2 linked regions of the Astyanax mexicanus genome follow. The main gene of each other region encodes a partner of the protein of the gene in region 2 in a complex. Links are inferred from orthologs where the notes say so. Each region holds a gene or a part of one and is shown on either strand. Other genes may lie near its edges.

Evidence for each region.
Region 1: the proteins of dffb (region 2) and dffa are in contact, whole or in part, in an NMR structure (PDB 1F2R), measured with the Mus musculus proteins. The link is inferred for Astyanax mexicanus from reciprocal best matches to the Homo sapiens genes DFFB and DFFA. Residues at the interface, in NP_031885.3 of Mus musculus: Cys10, Lys12, Arg14, Ala19, Cys20, Lys21, Phe22, Gly23, Val24, Ala25, Ala26, Arg39; in NP_001020467.1 of Mus musculus: Asp66, Thr68, Ile69, Val70, Asp71, Asp72, Asp74, Tyr75, Trp94, Tyr96, Asp100.

The regions. Positions count from the first base shown.
Region 1 is NC_064420.1:41,387,956-41,397,413, reverse strand, and holds the start of dffa (DNA fragmentation factor subunit alpha), read right to left. Parts: upstream 3,632-9,458; 5' UTR 3,491-3,631; coding exon 3,400-3,490; intron 941-3,399; coding exon 782-940; intron 700-781; coding exon 539-699; intron 1-538. UniProt on the Homo sapiens protein: Inhibitor of the caspase-activated DNase (DFF40).
Region 2 is NC_064419.1:50,210,711-50,219,770, reverse strand, and holds the start of dffb (DNA fragmentation factor subunit beta), read right to left. Parts: upstream 4,086-9,060; 5' UTR 4,035-4,085; coding exon 3,903-4,034; intron 2,771-3,902; coding exon 2,638-2,770; intron 1,746-2,637; coding exon 1,551-1,745; intron 461-1,550; coding exon 381-460; intron 1-380. Other genes in the region: ifrd2 (interferon-related developmental regulator 2), read right to left, coding at 8,096-8,176. UniProt on the Homo sapiens protein: Nuclease that induces DNA fragmentation and chromatin condensation during apoptosis. Degrades naked DNA and induces apoptotic morphology.

The sequences.
Region 1 (9,458 bases), on a different chromosome or scaffold from region 2:
TTTTTTAAAGCAACTTCATTATGCTTCTGAATAAAAAACTGTTAATTGTTAATTATTTACCTTGCAGGATTTGCAATTAAATAAATCAACAAACAGATTTTAAGATGGATGTTAAGCAAGCAAAATAAAAAATAAACTTTTAATCTTTTATTTTTTTTTTTTTTTTACTTATTTAGCTGAACAGCAAATCATTTATACCAAAACCATAATTTTATATAACACTACAGTGTTCTTCTAAAACGATACATTGTGAATGTTCTTTGTAATTTTAAAACCAATCTAACTTAGTTTAATCAAACTTTATATTTTCTTTCCTCTCTTTTCTCCTAAATCAAATGTGGTGGGCTAAAAAACTGCATTGTGATTTGATGGTATGTCTTCTAGAATTTAAAAAATCTTAAATGAACAATCACAATTTTAAGCCACAAATGCTGTTATGGCTATTTCTTTAACTCTGTGAAGTAGATTTACAGGAACTGAAAGTGTAAAGTATGATATGTCCACATGATCAGAATCTGAAGGTTCTGCTTAAACTGACCTGTAGGTCTGCCTCGGACATGAGAATGATGTTGGCCAGGTTCTGTTTGAGTTTGTCTGCTACCGTACGCCAGGGTTCCACACCATTGTCCATCCCACTGTCCACTGCGTCTGTCTCCATCTCGACAGTCTCTGATCTGAGCCATGCTGTGCCTCCGTCATCTACAGAGAACAACACAGCTGATCAGGATCTGAGATTACATTCATTTACAGAGGAAATGCTTTCCTGCAAATATAAGCTTACATCTTCTAGCAGGGGTCCACACCTCACCAGTACATAACAACATGAATTTGGTGTTTGGGGGCAGACACAAGAAGTAGGTCTCATCTTTCACAAAAGTGCCATCATCTTCCAGCACCACTGATACTGAGGAATCAGGCTTAAATTCCAGTGTTTCACTGCCTACAGGAGGAATAAAAAAATGATATTAATTTAAGTATTAAAGCTCAGATAAGACAACCATATTCTCCATACTTGTGCTGAAGAAGGAAAGATTAAAGGTCTTGCTTAAGGGCCCAACCCTCGAATCTTGCATCAATTGTTTTTTTTATGAAAAAGTTTATAAAGAGTTGTTTTAAATGCTAATAGAATAGCAATGAGCTAATGAGCAAATCATCTAATTTGACAGGGGTGCTCAAACATTTTCATGCAGATAACTTTTATATGCTACTACATTTTCATAAAAATATCTGCAGGTAAACAATATTAAAGTAATTTTCTTTCTGAAATGATTGTATGCCACTGATTTAGGTCAATAATAATGATAATAATAACAATAATAATAATAATAATAACAATAGCATAAAATGCAATTAAATATTTTTAAAAAGCAAAAATATTTGATGATTAAGATAATTCTAACTTTGGAATTGGAATACAAAAATATTAAACATACAGCACCTGTTAAAACTTTTGACACACCTTTTCTCATTTAATGTGTTTTCTTCCATTCTATTGTAAATTTAATATTTAAGATATTAAAGCTATACAATAAACATATGCAATATACCACATGTAGCTTTGAGGACAGACCTGCACACTCTTTGGTATTTTAATCTCAGTGTCTTCATTAAGGAAGAGTCACCTGAAATAGTTTTCTCAGCATCTTGAAGGAGTTCCTAGAGGTGCTCAACAATAGTTGCTGCTTTTCCCAAAGCTCATCCCAAATAACTACCTCATTTGGGATTTTTATTTTCTAAGTAATTCCCTATGTGTCCTTTAATTGTTTTAATTGTCTTTAATATTAATCTACAATGTAGAAAATAAATAAAAAAGAAAAACATTGAATTATAAGGTGTGTCCAAACTTTTGACTGATACTGTATATTTTACATAAAAATCCAGATTGTTCATGTTAATACATTTTACTTGAGTGTTTTTTTTACACTCAAGTAAAAACAGAGGGTAACATTATGTTCAAACTTAGTTTATATATTGTTTTCTTGATGAGTTGATAATGTAATTATTGTGAGGGGCCTACATATAGCTGTTTACATTGGTCAGTACTTAATCAGTTTAAAATATAGCCATAAACAAAGAAAAATAAAAGAAGGGAAAAGAACTGGAAAGAAAACAAGAAGAAGAGTAGGAGAAGAGTGGTTTTACAAGCTCTTCAGTGTGATTTTGTTGTTTTCACTTTCTGTCCTTTCTTAAGGTGCCCCTAAGGTAACATAATGTAAAAAAATAACAATAATAATAATAATAATAATAATAATAATAATAATAATGAGTGGCTACAACTTATTAATGAGATATAAGGTAAATGGATACTGCATACTGTCTGTGTCTGAGCCCATAAGCTTTTAGAATGAGAATAAAGTGTCTTTTAATTAGAATTACGCCATGTCTCACCACAAGAGACTCAAAAATATCGCCATAATTAATTCCAAAATAAAAATACAATTTACAGAAAAAAAAGTTGTATTGTTATTTTCTGGTTACGACTTAATTATCTCATTCCCATGCCTTAGGATCTCATTTTCACGCCTTAATTAAATTATTTAGACGTGGAAAAGTGATCCTAATGAATGGGAACAAGATGATTTAGTCATAGGCACGACTTAAGATGTGGGAATGAGATAATAAGAGAATAATAAAACTTGCTTTCCTGTAAATTAATTTCCATGAAGAAACTGAACATTACATCAAAGCTCTAATCCAAGGATAATCTTTAGTAAGAAAAGAGTGAATTGGTTTCTTTTTATTTTCATCTTGGAATTAATTATGGGGATATTTTGGAGTCTTTTGCAGTAAAATAACTAAAATGTTCTGTGTAAAATTAAGCTTGGGTTTTATTCTAGAGTAGAATAAAGCGCAGGCTTCCTCATGTAATTTTTTTTTACCTTATGATACTTCATTAGCTAGATATCTCTCAGTATTTTATATTTCTCAGTGTCGTGGCCACGCATTATTATATATATATATATTTTTTACGTGATCTGATCTTTGGGGCTCCGTACTTTGTATTGAACAGAAATAATCAAATACTAATAATCAAATACTAAGAGATACTTAGCTATAATCAAGTATAATGAAGTAAATAATGAGTTTACCTGAGAAAGTCTACTCTTTAATCATCTCTAGAAAGAAATTCAAGCTTTATTTTACACAGAATATTTAGTTATTTAGGGTAAAAGAAATCTTGGAATTTTCTATTGCACCTTAAAAAAGTGCTGCAGTTGCAATGTTTAACTGCTTCTTCCCCATTCTTCAAATTCAGAATGTAGCTTAACTAAACTACTGCACTTTTTTTTAAGGTGGAACGGATATATGGAATAAAAAAGGCAATCTTTAGCCTGATCTAAAGTTTGGGAGCAGTTTAAATATAAAATTCAACTGCTAAACGAGGCGAAACTAACTCACCCTTTATCTTCAGCTGATCCAGAGAGGACACTGCCACCCCTACACACCTCTGCCGGCTGTAGTTACACACTTTACAGGGTCTTACAGACATATTAGCTTTTTGTTTTTATCAGGGTTATCCTCAGCTGTGTGTTTAAAGTGTTAATATATCCATTAACATCAGACCGTAGTCCACACTGTGACAGATAGCTGCTGTTTTGTTTTCGTTTCAGCTCTTCTTCTTTGGAATTGATTGGAGCACAGTGGTGCAGAATATCACCCCCTACAGGCACTACAGCCTTACTACAGCCGTAGGTTACAAGGCTGTGCACATTTCTACTTTTCAGAATTTAATTCAGTTTAACCCCTTTAACAGGCCTTGGCCCATGCACAGGCTACAAGTGTAGGTGATACAGAACCAATTTTCTCTGTTGTACAATTTATTTACATTCTAAAAACATTAAACACTTAAATAATTTGCTTGTTCACTCTTTACTTCACTTAATTTCAGATCAGTAAGAAACAGGGCTGGACTGGGACAAAAAAATCGGCCCTGGCATTTTTGGTTTAGACAGGCCCCTCATAATTAGCAGAGCACAACCAACTTGTAATTTATGTATGTGGGGTTACAGAGAAGCATAATGTATCATCAGCATATTAACTATTATTATCTATTATTAACTCCACCATTTTTGTCTGCTCTGTGTAGTTCAACTGATTTTTTATCCTTTTTATTGAAATCATCTCTAATATGTATTTTGGGTTTTTTCTTTGATATAACAAATAAAATAATTCTTTTTTTTTAGGTTAAAGGTGCTTCCTCCTTTAAACAGCTATAACATGTATTTGTAAAAGTCTACAAACGGGCATTCTGTATAGCCTTACCATTATCAACTTCATAATCAAAATTTAACTTAATTATAATAATGTTTTGTTTTTTGAGATGGAATGTTGTAATGGGGCTCGAGAGAGAGAGAGAGAGAGCGAGAAAAAGAGAGAGACAGTCCGAGAGAGCGACGGAGAAAAAGAGAGAGAGAGAGCGAGAGACAGAGAAAAAAAAGGTAGAGAGCGAGAGAAAAAGAGAGACAGAGAGGCTGCCCTTCTTACGATAAAAAAGTGATGGAGATCAAGCTAGAGTACCCCTTCTTGCAACAAATTATGATGATGTGCCTTAGATCAAGATATTTTAATAATGTCTTAATCTTAATTAGTGGCCATCTGTGAGTGACCCTTGTTGTCCTTCCAGTCAAAAATGGTTCTGTTATGAAGCACATCTTAGGCCACACCAACTAGACATTGTTTTAAAGTGTATAAAATGTGATGCAGTGCTGTATAGGACTCTCTAACGATAGGACAGACTGTACTTTACCATCATGTTGGTAAAAGAAAATTGCTGTAAAAAAAATCCCCATTGTTAAAGTTGTATCTATTCCATCCATTTTAGTTTTTTTTTTTGTCATGCATTAAGTACCTTTTTATTCACTCATAATATTAGATCTACAAATCTTGCCATGATCCAAACTGCAGGATATATTTATCCAGCATGGTGTTGTTGAAGTTAATCATGACTGAATGATGGAACAGTAGTAATATTTATAGGGTCTTAGTTATCCGGTGATCTACACAAAATCTTTTTTTTTTTTTTTTTTTTTTTTTACTTTTCCTTTCCCACAACATGAAATGCAATCTTTATAGGGATGTAAGAATGATACTAAGGTATGGAGACCTCTATTGAAGTACTTGGTTAAATAATGCCGACACAAAATGTTTATTATGTTTATTTAATAAGAATATTAAGGTTGAGAGACAGTGGTGTTATGGACTATACATTTTTTTAAAGACCCAGATCAGGGACCAAGATTCCACTCTAGAAGATCTAATAGAACACTAATATACAGGAGGGAAAAACCAGGATTCCTGTAGAAAACAAAGAACAGGAGAGACAAAGACAAAGAGCAAGAGACCACAAGCAAAATGTTCACCTAAATCTGTAAATCTAATAATTTGCACCGGTACCCCACTGTTCTCAGCAGACCAGGCCACTATTCCCTCTGTCAGAAAAAAGTCATAATCCAATTAAACATCACCCTCACAGTCTAGCAAGCTCACATAATATAACATCGAACAACTGGGGGGTTATACACAAGACCTCAACTCTACACAAGTACTTTACTCTCCCACTCAATCATAATTAAATCCATGACTAAATTACAACTAATATAACATTAAACACCTAACCTTCCCTTTACCCACACAATAATCACTAATCACTATGTAGCAAGCTCTTCACATGGGACATCAGGTAGGCACTTCTTTAACTACCTACCTACCTTTTTTATCTAACTACCAACCCCTTTACCTACCTACCTATTTAACTATCTACTTACCTTTTTATCTAACTACCAACCCCATTACCTACCTACCTATTTACCTACCTCTTTAACTACCTACCTACCTGTTTAGCTAACTACCAACCCCTTTACCTACCTACCTACCTATTTGACTAACTACCTACCTTTTTATCTAACTACAACCCCATTACCTACCTATCTATTTGCCTAACTACCTACCTCTTTAACTACCTACCTGTTTACCCAACTACCAACCCCATTCCCTACCTACCTATTTAACTACCTACCTACCTTTTTACTTAACTACCAACCCCATTCCCTATCTACCTATTTAACTACCTACTTCCATGAATACCTACCTACATTTTTACCTAACTACCAACCCCATTACCTACCTACCTCTTTACCTACCTCTTTAACTACCTACTTCTTTAACTACCTACCTTTTTACCTACCTACAACCCCTTTACCTACCTACCTCTTCAAATACTTATCCTATATTTTTATCTAACTACCAACCTCTTTACCTACCTACCTATTTGACTAACTACCTACCTTTTTATATAACTACCAACCCCATTACCTACCTACCTATTTAACTACCTACCTACCTTTTTAATTAACTACCAACCCCTTTTACCTACATACCTCTTGAACTACCTACCTACCAACCTACCTTCCTATTTACCTAGCTCTTTAACTATCTACCTCTTAAACTACCTACCTACCTACCTCTTAACTACCTACCTACATCTTTAACTACCTAACTCTTTAACTCCCTTCCTAGCTTTTTACCTAACCTCCAACTCCATTACCTACATACCTACCTCTTTTACTACATTCCTACCTGTTTACCTAACTACCAACCCTATTACCTACCTACCTATTTAACTACCTACCTTTTTAACCTAACTACCAACCCCATTACCTTCCTACCTATTTAACAACTTACCTACCTTTTTACATAACTACCAACCCCATTACCTACCTACCTATTTAACTACCTTCCTACTTCTTTACCGAACTACCAACCTACCTACCTCTTTAACTCCCTTTCTAGCTTTTTACCTAACCTCCAACTCCATTACCTACATACCTACCTCTTTACCTACCTTTCTACCTATTTACCTAACTACAAACCTGATTAACTACCTATTTAACTACCTACCTACCTTTTTACCTTACTACCAACCCCATTACCTACCTACCTCTTTTACTACGTTCCTACCTGTTTACCTAACTACCAACCCCATTACCTACCTACCTACCTCTTTTACTACGTTCCTACCTGTTTACCTAACTACCAACCCTATTACCTACCTACCTATTTAACTACCTACCTTTTTAACCTAACTACCAACCCCATTACCTACCTACCTATTTAACTACCTACCTACCTTTTTACCTAACTACCAACCCCATTACCTACCCTCCTATTTAACTACCTACCTACCTTTTTACCTAACTACCAACCCCATTACCTACCCTCCTATTTAACTACCTACCTACATTTATACCTAATTAACAACCCCATTACCTACCTACCTATTTAACTACCTACCTACCTTTTTACCAAAAATACCAACCCCATTATCTACCTACCTCTTTTACTAGCTTTCTACCTTTTTACCTAACTACCAACCCCATTACCTACCTACCTATTTAACTACCTACCTTTTTAACCTAACTACCAACCCCATTACCTACCTACCTTTTTAACTACCTACCTACCTCTTTACCTCACTACCAACCCCATTACCTACTTACCTATTTAAAGACCTACCTACCTTCTTACCTAACTACCAACCCCGTTACCTACCTACTTATTTAACTACTTACCTACATTTTTACCAAACTACCAACCCCATTACCTACCTACCTCTTTAACTCCCTTCCTAGCTTTTTACCTAACCTCCAACCCCATTATCTACGTACCTACCTCTTTTTCTACGTTCCTACCTGTTTACCTAACTACCGACCCTATTACCTACCTACCTATTTAACTACCTACCTTTTTACCTAACTACCAACCCCATTACCTACCTACCTCTTTACATACCACTTTAACTACCTTCCTACCTGTTTACCTAACTACCAACCCCATTACCTACCTACCTACTTCTTTAACTACCTAACTACCTTTTTACCTAACTACCAACCCCATTACATACCTACCTATTTAACTACTTACCTACATTTTTACCAAACTACAACCCTATTACCTACCTACATATTTAACTACCTTCCTATCTCTTTACCTAACTACCAACCCCATTAGCTACTTACCTATTTAACTACTTACATACCTTTTTACCTAGCCATCAACCCAATTACCTACCTACCTCTTTAACTACCTTCCTACATGTTTACCTAACTACCAACCCCATTACCTACCTACCTACCTCTTTAACTACCTACCTACCTTTTTACCTAACTACCAACCCCATTACCTACCTACCTATTTAAGTACCTACCTACCTTTTTACCAAACTACCAACCCCATTACCTACCTACCTCTTTACCAACCCCTTTAACTATCTTTCTACCTGTTTACCTAACTACCAACCTGATACTTACCTACCTACCTCTTTACCTACATTTTTAACTACCTACCTACCTTTTTACCTAACCACCAACCTCATTACCTACCTACCTTTTTACCTACATTTTTAACTACCTACCTTTTTACCTAACTACAAACCCCATTACCTACCTACCTCTTTACCTACATTTTTAACTACCTACCTACATTTTACCTAACTACCAACCCAATTACCTACCTCTTTACATACATTTTTAACTACCTACCTACCTTTTTACTTAACTACCAACCCCATTACCTACATACCTATTTAACTACCTACCTTTTTTACCAAAACTACCAACCCCATTATCTACCTACCCATTTAACTACCTTCCAACCTCTTTACCTAACTACAACCCCATTACCTACCTACCTATTTAACTACTTTCCTACCTCTTTACTGAACTACCAACCCCATTACCTACCTACCTCTTTGCCTACTTCTTTAACTACCTTCCTACCTGTTTTCCTAATTACCAACTTCATGACCTAACTACATTTTTAACTACCTACCTACCTCTTTACCTACCTCTTTAACAATCTACATACCTGTTAACCCAACTACTAACATATTACCTACCTACCTACCTATTTAACTACCAGCCTACATACCTACCTACCTACCTGTTTACCTAAGTACCAACCCCATTACCTACCTATCTATTTAACTACTTACCTACCTTTTTACTTAACCATCAACCCCATTACCTACCTACCTATTTAACTACCTACCTACTTCTTCACCTAACTACCAACCCCATTACCTACTTACCTATTTAAATACCTACCTACCTTTTTACCTAACTACCAACCCCATTACTTACCTACCTCTTTAACTACCTTCCTACCTGTTTACCTAACTACCAATCCCATTACCTACCTACCTATTTAACTACCTACCTACCTTTTTACCTAACCACCAACCCCATTACCTACCTACCTACCTATCTCTTTACCTACCTCTTTAACTACCTTTCTACCTGTTTACCTAACTACCAACCTATACCTACCTACATATTTAACTACCTACCTTTTTACCTAACTACCAACCCCATTAGCTACTTACCTATTTAACTACTTACATACCTTTTTACCTAGCCATCAACCCAATTACCTACCTACCTCTTTAACTACCTTCCTACATG
Region 2 (9,060 bases):
ATATGCTTTTCTAAATTACATTATAACTGTCACCATACATTAGGAAACAAAACAATGACACACCCCTAGTAACAATAATATATATTGCATATTGATGCTGTCCACTAAAAAAATAAAATAAAAATAAATTAATAAATTATCAATTACTAGCTTTTCACATGATAAAAAATAAAATACAATTAAATATATATATATATATATATATATATATATATATATATATATATATATTCCTTACACCATGTAAAGATAATAATGTTACAATAGCGAAGTATTTTAGTGTTCCACTGATGCAGGATACTGATAACATTTAGTAATTATCATTTAGTTTGTTTGACTAATATTAAAAAATCTAATATATTAATGAAAATGAATCCTACCTCCTTCAGGTAGCCTCGTATCCTCTGTTCACAGTTAAATCTCATATACGCAGATTTAGTCTTAAACCTCGAATCAATACCTGAAAAATAAGAGATTCATAATGAAGTGATTTTCTTCAATGGAAATAATTAAATTATTATTTCTATAATACTGGTGTTAAAAAAATAAAATAAGCTAACATCCATCCATGGCTGTGAGTCTTTTATTTTAAAGATGAGAGAGAGAGAGAGAGTATAAAACAAGAGCCAGATTTTTAACTATTTGTGGTGAAAAACATTTTTTTTGTTTTGTTTTTATAAGCAGGTCAGCTAGAAAATCATTTTCAGTGCCTTTGAATATGAAATATGAGTTTTTAGTGCTGCTGAGTTGCTGGGCTAATAGCTACTCCATGTGTGAGCAGAAAGATGCACTCTGGAGAGGGATATCCGGTTAATGGCGTTAAAGTCTTAATTCCTTTTTATCCACAAAACACATAATTAAGTTCCTACAGTGATCCTCATACAAAACTGCTGTATAAAATTGCCCAAATATGATCTGGTAAGTTTGCAGGATCAGTTTATTAGAGAAATAACCACTGATTACCATGACTCCTGGTGCCAGCTGCTGCACTATGTGAAGTCTATGTATTTATATGTCTATGTTATTATCAGTACAGTGATGGCGGCGCTCGGAGCTGAAGCTATAGGAGTTATAGGATGTAAACAGTGTTTTTTAATAAACTTCTTTTTAAGCACTTTTTAAGTTATTAATGCCTCATTTTAAATATCAGGACTCTCCTTTTGGATTCTAGTAAGGAGATGTGGAGCTACTTTGAGCTGGATAACGGTGTAAAAAGTGATTTATCAGGGTAAATTATGCCCCGTATCTCCCAGTCTGAAGGGTGTTTGTTGGATACACTTAAAATTTCTGGATCTCTGAACGCTGTGGGAGAGCGGAGGTGTGCTATTCATCAAAGATAAGAATTTTTATCATGTTTTACTGCAATAAAAGTACATTTTACACCAGAGTTCTGCTTTAATATACAATACAGAACATTTTAAAATAAGGAAAAAACTCTGAATTGACTGATGAATGGGTTCATCTCTTCTATTTTCCTATACTGCAGTTTTATCGTCCTCTAAACACTTTTATAATCACTGCTGTAACTTTAACTGATTATTTATTATTACCCTGAAACCAGTCCTGGTCCTGGGTGCGGTTCTCCAGCTCGGCGCTGTCCGTCAGGTTGTTCAGCAGATCTCCCAGCAGTTTCCTCCTCTTAGCTGGAAGCTCCTCGCCGTCGTCCGTCAGCAGACGCTTCGCCGCGCTGATGAGCTCGTCTGAGTGACGGTCTGAACCCAGAACCTGCCTGATATCATACAGCACTGCGGGGAGGAGATTCATAAGAGATTAATATCAAAAATTCATAGAAAAGATAAAAATCTGTTTTAGAAGAATGAAAAAAAAGAGAATAAAAAGTGCATATCTGACAGAAGATCCTACTAATCTAATTTATTGAAAGATTAGGGGGGAAAAAATGTCAAAGTAAAAATTCCCTTTTGACACACTGAAACATTCTGGATTATCTATATTTATCACAAAACAGTTCATTTCAGGCAAAAATTTGGCATCTGTCATCACACAATACATTAAGATCATTACGCAAGAAATATTACTTCACGTTATCGGCGCTAGAGATCAGAGACAAAATTTTAAAAACAAATAACATTAGTTTTTATCCTCCTGTATACAAACAATACAATTAAAGTTTTCTCCTGAGAAATTATCTGTAGCATCTATTTATTTATTTAACATCTAACTTACATACTCTTCACAGTTTACCATTTTTTATTAAATTAACAGCTTAAATAAAACAACAGTTCTATTGAAACAAATAATATTAAATAAAACCTTCCGTGGTCAGCGTCTTCTTTTTTCACCATACAAATAATACTTCAACAAGTATCAGTTTCATATATCTAGAAATTGTTAGAAACCATTGATTTTATATCATAAATAATAATTATTATAATAAAAAAAAAATTATCACCCACTAAAAATAATAAATACTGATAAATCCATCACTGCACATCCCTAGATTAAACATCAAGATAATGGGAATTTGAGATTTTGGTAATATTACCCCAGCCCGTGGGGAAAACCTGCCTATTGTTTATTATTTTGTCAAAACGCAAAATTATATATTTAATTATGTTTTAAGTAGAATTTATGATTTTTTTATGCTATTATTTAGATATTATTTAAACAGAGACTCACAGCCGCTCCGGCTCTGACCCTCAGAGATCAGCAGGACCTCAGTGTTCTCCGGAACATACTGAAAATAATCCTCCGTTATCCGCGTCCCGTCCTCATACAGACAACACTGCAGCTTCTGCTTACAGCCAGAGACCTAATAACACACAATCAATCAATTAATCACTCAAACAATCAATTAAACAAATTAAACAATCAGCCAAACAGCCAATTAAACGGTCAACCAATTAATTAACCAATCAACCGGACAATTAATCAATCAAACAGTCAATCAGCCAGTAAAACAGCTAATAAAAAAAATCAATCAGCCAGACAATAAATCAATCAGGCACTTAAACAGTCAATCAATCAAATCAAGAAATGAAACAAACAAAACGGTAAAAAAGGAAGGAAAAGTGAAACGTTTCTGAGCAGCAGCACTGAGAGCGGAACCAGGTGTTCCGTCGAGTTGCGCTACCCGTCCTTATATGACACCTACGGACACTGCGCATGCGCTGACCCATGTGTGTTTGATTCACAGTTTAAGTTTTTTTTCCTTTAGGTAAATACGGGTTTTCTCTGGTATTTTACACAGTCTAAACTTGCTGTTACTGTATTTGTGAGTGTTATAAAACATAAGTGGTTTTATAAGCGATTATCTCAAAAACGTAATCTTTACCCTGTATTTCTGTTGGGAACATCTGATATAATGTGTTCAGTCTGTGCTGCTTTATCTAAGAAACTTTAGCAGAGCTAGTAATAAATAAAGTTGATATTATCGCTGTCTAATAAAAAAGTATATTTAAAACAGCAGCTTTACAGGAGAGAGATAAAAATCTTCTAAACTTTCAATGGAAGTCAATGTAAAAAGAGTTTATTTCAGCTCATTTTTGGTTTAGTTCAGAAAGGGGCAGTTTCTCTGTTTAAATTATGTAGTAAACTAAAAATCCACACAAATGAGAAACTTGTTTTTCATTCGACAACAACAATATAACGTTAGACCTGTTAATGCAGAAACATGACTCCGTCCGAACTAAACAAGGGGTAAATTAGTTAGTTAACAAACATTCAGAGCTTCTCATTATCTCGGGGGGTTATTACACGCTCACGATATAACAGAACTGGCTCTGTTTTTACACGAGTTATTTAGTTTTATCGTATAAACAGTGAGTTTTACCGAGTACTGCTGATCTACACTATGGTAGCGGGATTCGGCAGGCTAACTCAAACAGACAGGGCACCGGAAGTAAAGCAGAACAGAACAAAGCGGTTGTTTTATTCTAACTTACCTTAAATAATTCGCTTCCCTTCTGGATCAGCTCCTTCAGTGTAAACGCGGCTACTCCGAATTTCTCAGCCCGTCCGGATATCCGCACTTTAAACAGTTTGGGTTTCCCCGCGCGCGGCGTCCGAGGCGGCATGCTGCTCCCGCTGCTCCCGCTCTCCGGTACCGGTCTGTAGTACAAACAACCAAACAGCGCAGAGTACCGAGTAGCGCCCCCAGCGGCACTGCAGTGTAACTACACTACACCCCCAGCGGCACTGCAGTTCTTATAGAGCGATAATAGATGTATTTTTCTCGAAAGCAGTTTAATATTAAAGTTATTTTGTAGTTTAAATGCAGCACCAAATATTAGGAGCTTAAGTTCTGTTGTAGATTTATTGTTACATTACATTGTTTTTATGTAACATTATTTATTTTGTAATTTTACATTTATTATTTTATACAAAATCAGAGAGCTGGTAAGTTATTGTTGATCACAAAACAAACATTAATTTTTTTGTTGTTTTTACAAACTAAAAATTTAATGTTTATTTAGTTGCAGGAGTATATTGTTGAAATCAAAAATCATAAATTATTTATAATAAAATATTTTGCCAAGAATATTATCTCAAAAATACCCTCAAATATCATATCATACCATCATATCGGCCAGCCATAGACAGTAGCATACTCATAAATAAGCAAAATATTTTTATCTTTAAAAACCCTGATATTTTAAGCCCATATTCAATTTTGTTTGTGTGGATTATTCTCAAAATGATTATTTTCAGAAAGTTACCTCATGTATATTTATAGCACTAAACTATTAACTTATTTTTATATATGGTATAGAAGATATTAGGTAATTTGTGGTTAAAATAAATCAAATAACAAAGAGACACAAAATGAAATAAAATATTTGTATATTTTTTATTGAAAGCCATAATTGATGTTTAACCCTCTGGGTGCAGAAGTGTTTACATCTCACACAGTTAAAGGGATAATTCAATATTTCAGCATTCACATAATTCTCATTTTATCTATATTCCATCTATCCAAGGAAAAAACTAACATTTCCTGCAAAACTGTTTAATTATCCCTTTATGTTCTGGGGATAATAAAACATTTAATACATATTTGGGCTTCGGTTCAGATTCTGAAACTTGCTGTGAGGGAGAAAGGGTAGATAGCAGATCGATCCTATCCACACTGTTTATAGATCAGCTTTTATAAAATACAGGGCCAGACTTTATTATCTTAAAGGAAAACTTCTAATCGTTTCAGTCTGATCTGTATATTAAACGTCCATCACCACAGACAGAAACTGATTTACTATTTTACTCACAAAAGGCCTGAAAATAAACTCGCCTCAAAGGACTTTTATTATAGAAACCAATAAAGTAACAGCTGCTTTAGCTCCGCCCATCACTGGATCCTATTATTAACTGGCTTGAATCACTTTGTGTGTTTACAAACACATCAAAACAATCTGTTCATAATCAGATTACTGTCTTTAATAATTTATGTAGTAATTATGAAAAGCATTATACATTTCCTTACATCTAAAAAGCTCTAAAAATCCAATTAAGAATGACAACATCTGATGAAGAGAGCTGGATTTTAGATCAGAAATCAGATTGCTCATATTTTTCAGGGTAACATATAAAATCTGATTAATACATCTGATAAAGAGATTTGGATTTGAGCTCAGTAATCAGATTTTTTTCAGTGAATGTGAACTCTTAACTAGAGTATTCTGGGATTTTTCTGACTAAGGTATAAACATCTGATAGAGAGATGGATTTTAGCTCAATAATCAGATTTTTTTAAGATCAGACTTGGAAGTGGAAAAATCTGATTAAGAGAGCAGCTTTTTAATTCAGTATTCAGATTTTTTTTTTTTAGATAAAAGTAAGGTTTCAAAATCGGATTACTAAATCTGATAAACATGTATTTTAGCTTAGTAATTAGTAATATCTGATTACACAAATTTATGTAACTGCATTAATATGATAACTGACGAACTCTAATACCGATGTTCTACAGTAATCAGATTATGAAGGGCATGTAAATGCACTGTTTTTTTGTTTTGTTTTGTTATTTACTGCTGTAATCAGACCTGTGACGGGTAACGGGGTGTAGAAAATAGAAACAGTCTGATAAGGGATGAAGTTTTCCCTTAAAAACGTAATACTACTCAACACAACACTGAATCTCTCTCTCTTTTTCAGTCGATATCTGATACTGTGCGTAATCTGATAATATTCTGAATGGATTTAAATGCAGGATCCATTCAGGTTGACCTAATCCAATCATGCAACACCAGACCGGACGTTTTCAGGATTTGGAAAAGGGAAAGGCTCGATTCACACAGCAGGAGAAAATGATAAAAATCTGATATTTTTGGTCATGTGATACAGGTGTGTTATTGATGTGTAACAGCAAAAACTTAAGATTGAATCTATATAATCGATATTTAAAATTTAAGCCACTTCAACAAGTGTTACTGAAATCTGAATTACAGCAACGCGACTCAGTCTGAACATCCAGATCAGAATTAATGCATGAAAAATGGATGATCGCAGTGAGTGAGGGTTTCAGTTGTTAAATACTGAAATAACAGAACCACAATACTGTAATACTGTAAATTAGAAGGTATATATATAAAGCTCTGTAAAAAAAAAAAAAAAAAAGAACACTTAAAAATGATGAGTTTCTTTGATTTTACCAAATTAAAAACCTCTGGAATATAATCAAGAGGAAGATGGATGATCACAAACCATCAAACCATCAAACTGAACGTAAATCTAAAGTAAATTAACATCAGATTTGGTGAGAAAAATCAGATTTGAGCAGCTTTCACCTGCTGTGGGAATTTTTCGGAAGTTTAGAAAAGGTTGTTTGCAGTAAAAGGAAAAAAAAGACATTTATGTTTATATAATTATAATCTTCCTACAAATATTCAAGCATTTGTATTTTTTATGTTAAAGAGGAGATGCACGGTCAGCCTGTGTATAAAATATAGATAGAAAAACTAGAAATTCATTTCTATTCCTCGGCCGTTTCCCGCTCTGTTGATGTGTTTACGGCTCTTAATGTTAAAAAGTCTTTTCTGTTTTCCCAAAAACTCTCAATAAATTAGAAAGTAAGATACAATAACAGAAAAGCAGAACACAGCCATACGAGAGCGCGTCATAAATGCAGAATATTAAACTGTGTTTAAAGGAGCAATAAGCAGCATTTTCCATTTCTGTTTTTATTTATTTATTTTCCTTTTAGTTTTTTATTTTCTTCTCAAACCAACCCAATACATGCTGCTAATGCTGAAAAACAGCATGACCTACTGTACTCTCTCTCTCAGACTCCAGCTACTGATGGAAAAACAACGCAACCTACTGTCCATCAGCTGCCGGAGCCCTGAGAGAGCACAGTTGTCCTTGCTGTTTCTCTCTGGGTGGGTACAGTACAGTAGATGGCGCTCTCTCTTTCCCTTCATCACTCCTAGGGTGATGTGGATCAGCACGAGGCTGCGTCTGTGAGCTGATGTATCAGAACCGAGTCACTGCGCTTTCCTCCAAGTGTTCAAAAAAAAAAAGTTCAAAAAGAGGCGGAGTCTGACTTCACATGTATCGGAGGAGGCGTGTGCTGGTCTTCTTCACCCTCCTGGTGTTGGAGCATCACTAGTGATAGGGGGGGATATACAGCTGAGCAGGTAAGAGCTCGGTAGAATAGCTAAATTGAGGAGAAAAGTGAGATTAAAAAATGATTTTAAAATTCAAGATATGCATCGTAGGCCATAAGCATATCTGCCCCCTGCTGGCCGTAAGGCAAACGTAACAAATACTGCCCCCAGTGGCCACCTGTAGTAACGCAGTTTACACGGTAAAGGAAAATGCTGCTTACTGCTAAATTCATTATTAGGATTTTTAGGTTATTATTTTATCCAGTATTGTTAAATAAAACTGAGACACACACACACACACACACACACACATTCACTCATCTTGACACGTACACACACACACACACACACACACACACACACACACACACACACACTTGCATTGTCAAGTCCCTGGTTTGGCAGTCGCTGTTTAATCATTTCAAGTGAGCTGATAGGAGGGGTGTAGTGTTCCTCTCGTTCCCTGTATCTCTCCATCCTTTACATCATCCTCATCATCGTTATCATCATCTTCATCTTCAGGTCACCCATCTTCATCACATCACGTCCGCTCGTTTGTCCCTCACTTTGTTCCGTAGTTTAGTCCGAGCTTTAAACGCAGCGGAATTGAAAAGATGCTGCAAAAGAAGATTAAACATATGTGAGTTAAAATTAATATATTAATACACTATTATAAGGTGAATTTTGAGTTGCAGCATATTTACTTACTTTTACACTTATATAAAGCCTTTTTTGTTACTTAAGGACGATTAAAAAGTTGCATTCCACACACAAACACTGGTGAGAAGCAGCAGCCAATCACGCAAAGCATACTCTCAACCGGAAACCACCGTCCACCTGGAGGACTGAATGCAGCACTGAGTCGCTGTACACATTCACACACCAATTTCTCCAATTTACCTAATCTCTGATATTTGTCTAAATTTTATACAAACTCTGTGTAACAGAAATGTTTTTACATTTCCTCTAAATAAACACATTATTACGCATATAAAGGAATGTTCATCTTTACTTTAAACAACCTTTTACATTTTAATAATAATTTAAAAGAATTCTGCATTTTATACATTTATTTAACTATTTAAAAAATAATAATAAATAAATAAATAAAAACTTTTAAGTTGTCCACCATGTCACTGTAAAATATCCCAGTAATTGAATATGTGTAGAAAATCTAAATGTATCTATGAAACAGAATAAGAACAATCATGAATAAATCTATATGTCTGTAACTTTAGCTTAAACATGTTTCCATTAAATACCAATTTTCGCTAAAATCAGAGAGTAACTACTGTAACAGGGTGGATGCATGCATGACTGTAAATAAAAAGTAATGAAAATGTCAATTAAACTTATTGAAAATATAATGTGTTAAGTCTGAAGGCTTTTAAATATGATGAAGAGAATACCGTATTTTTCGGACTATAAGGCGCACCGTATAATAAGGCGCACGATGAGTGAACAGTCTATTTTTAGTGTTAGTCCATACACAAGGCGCACT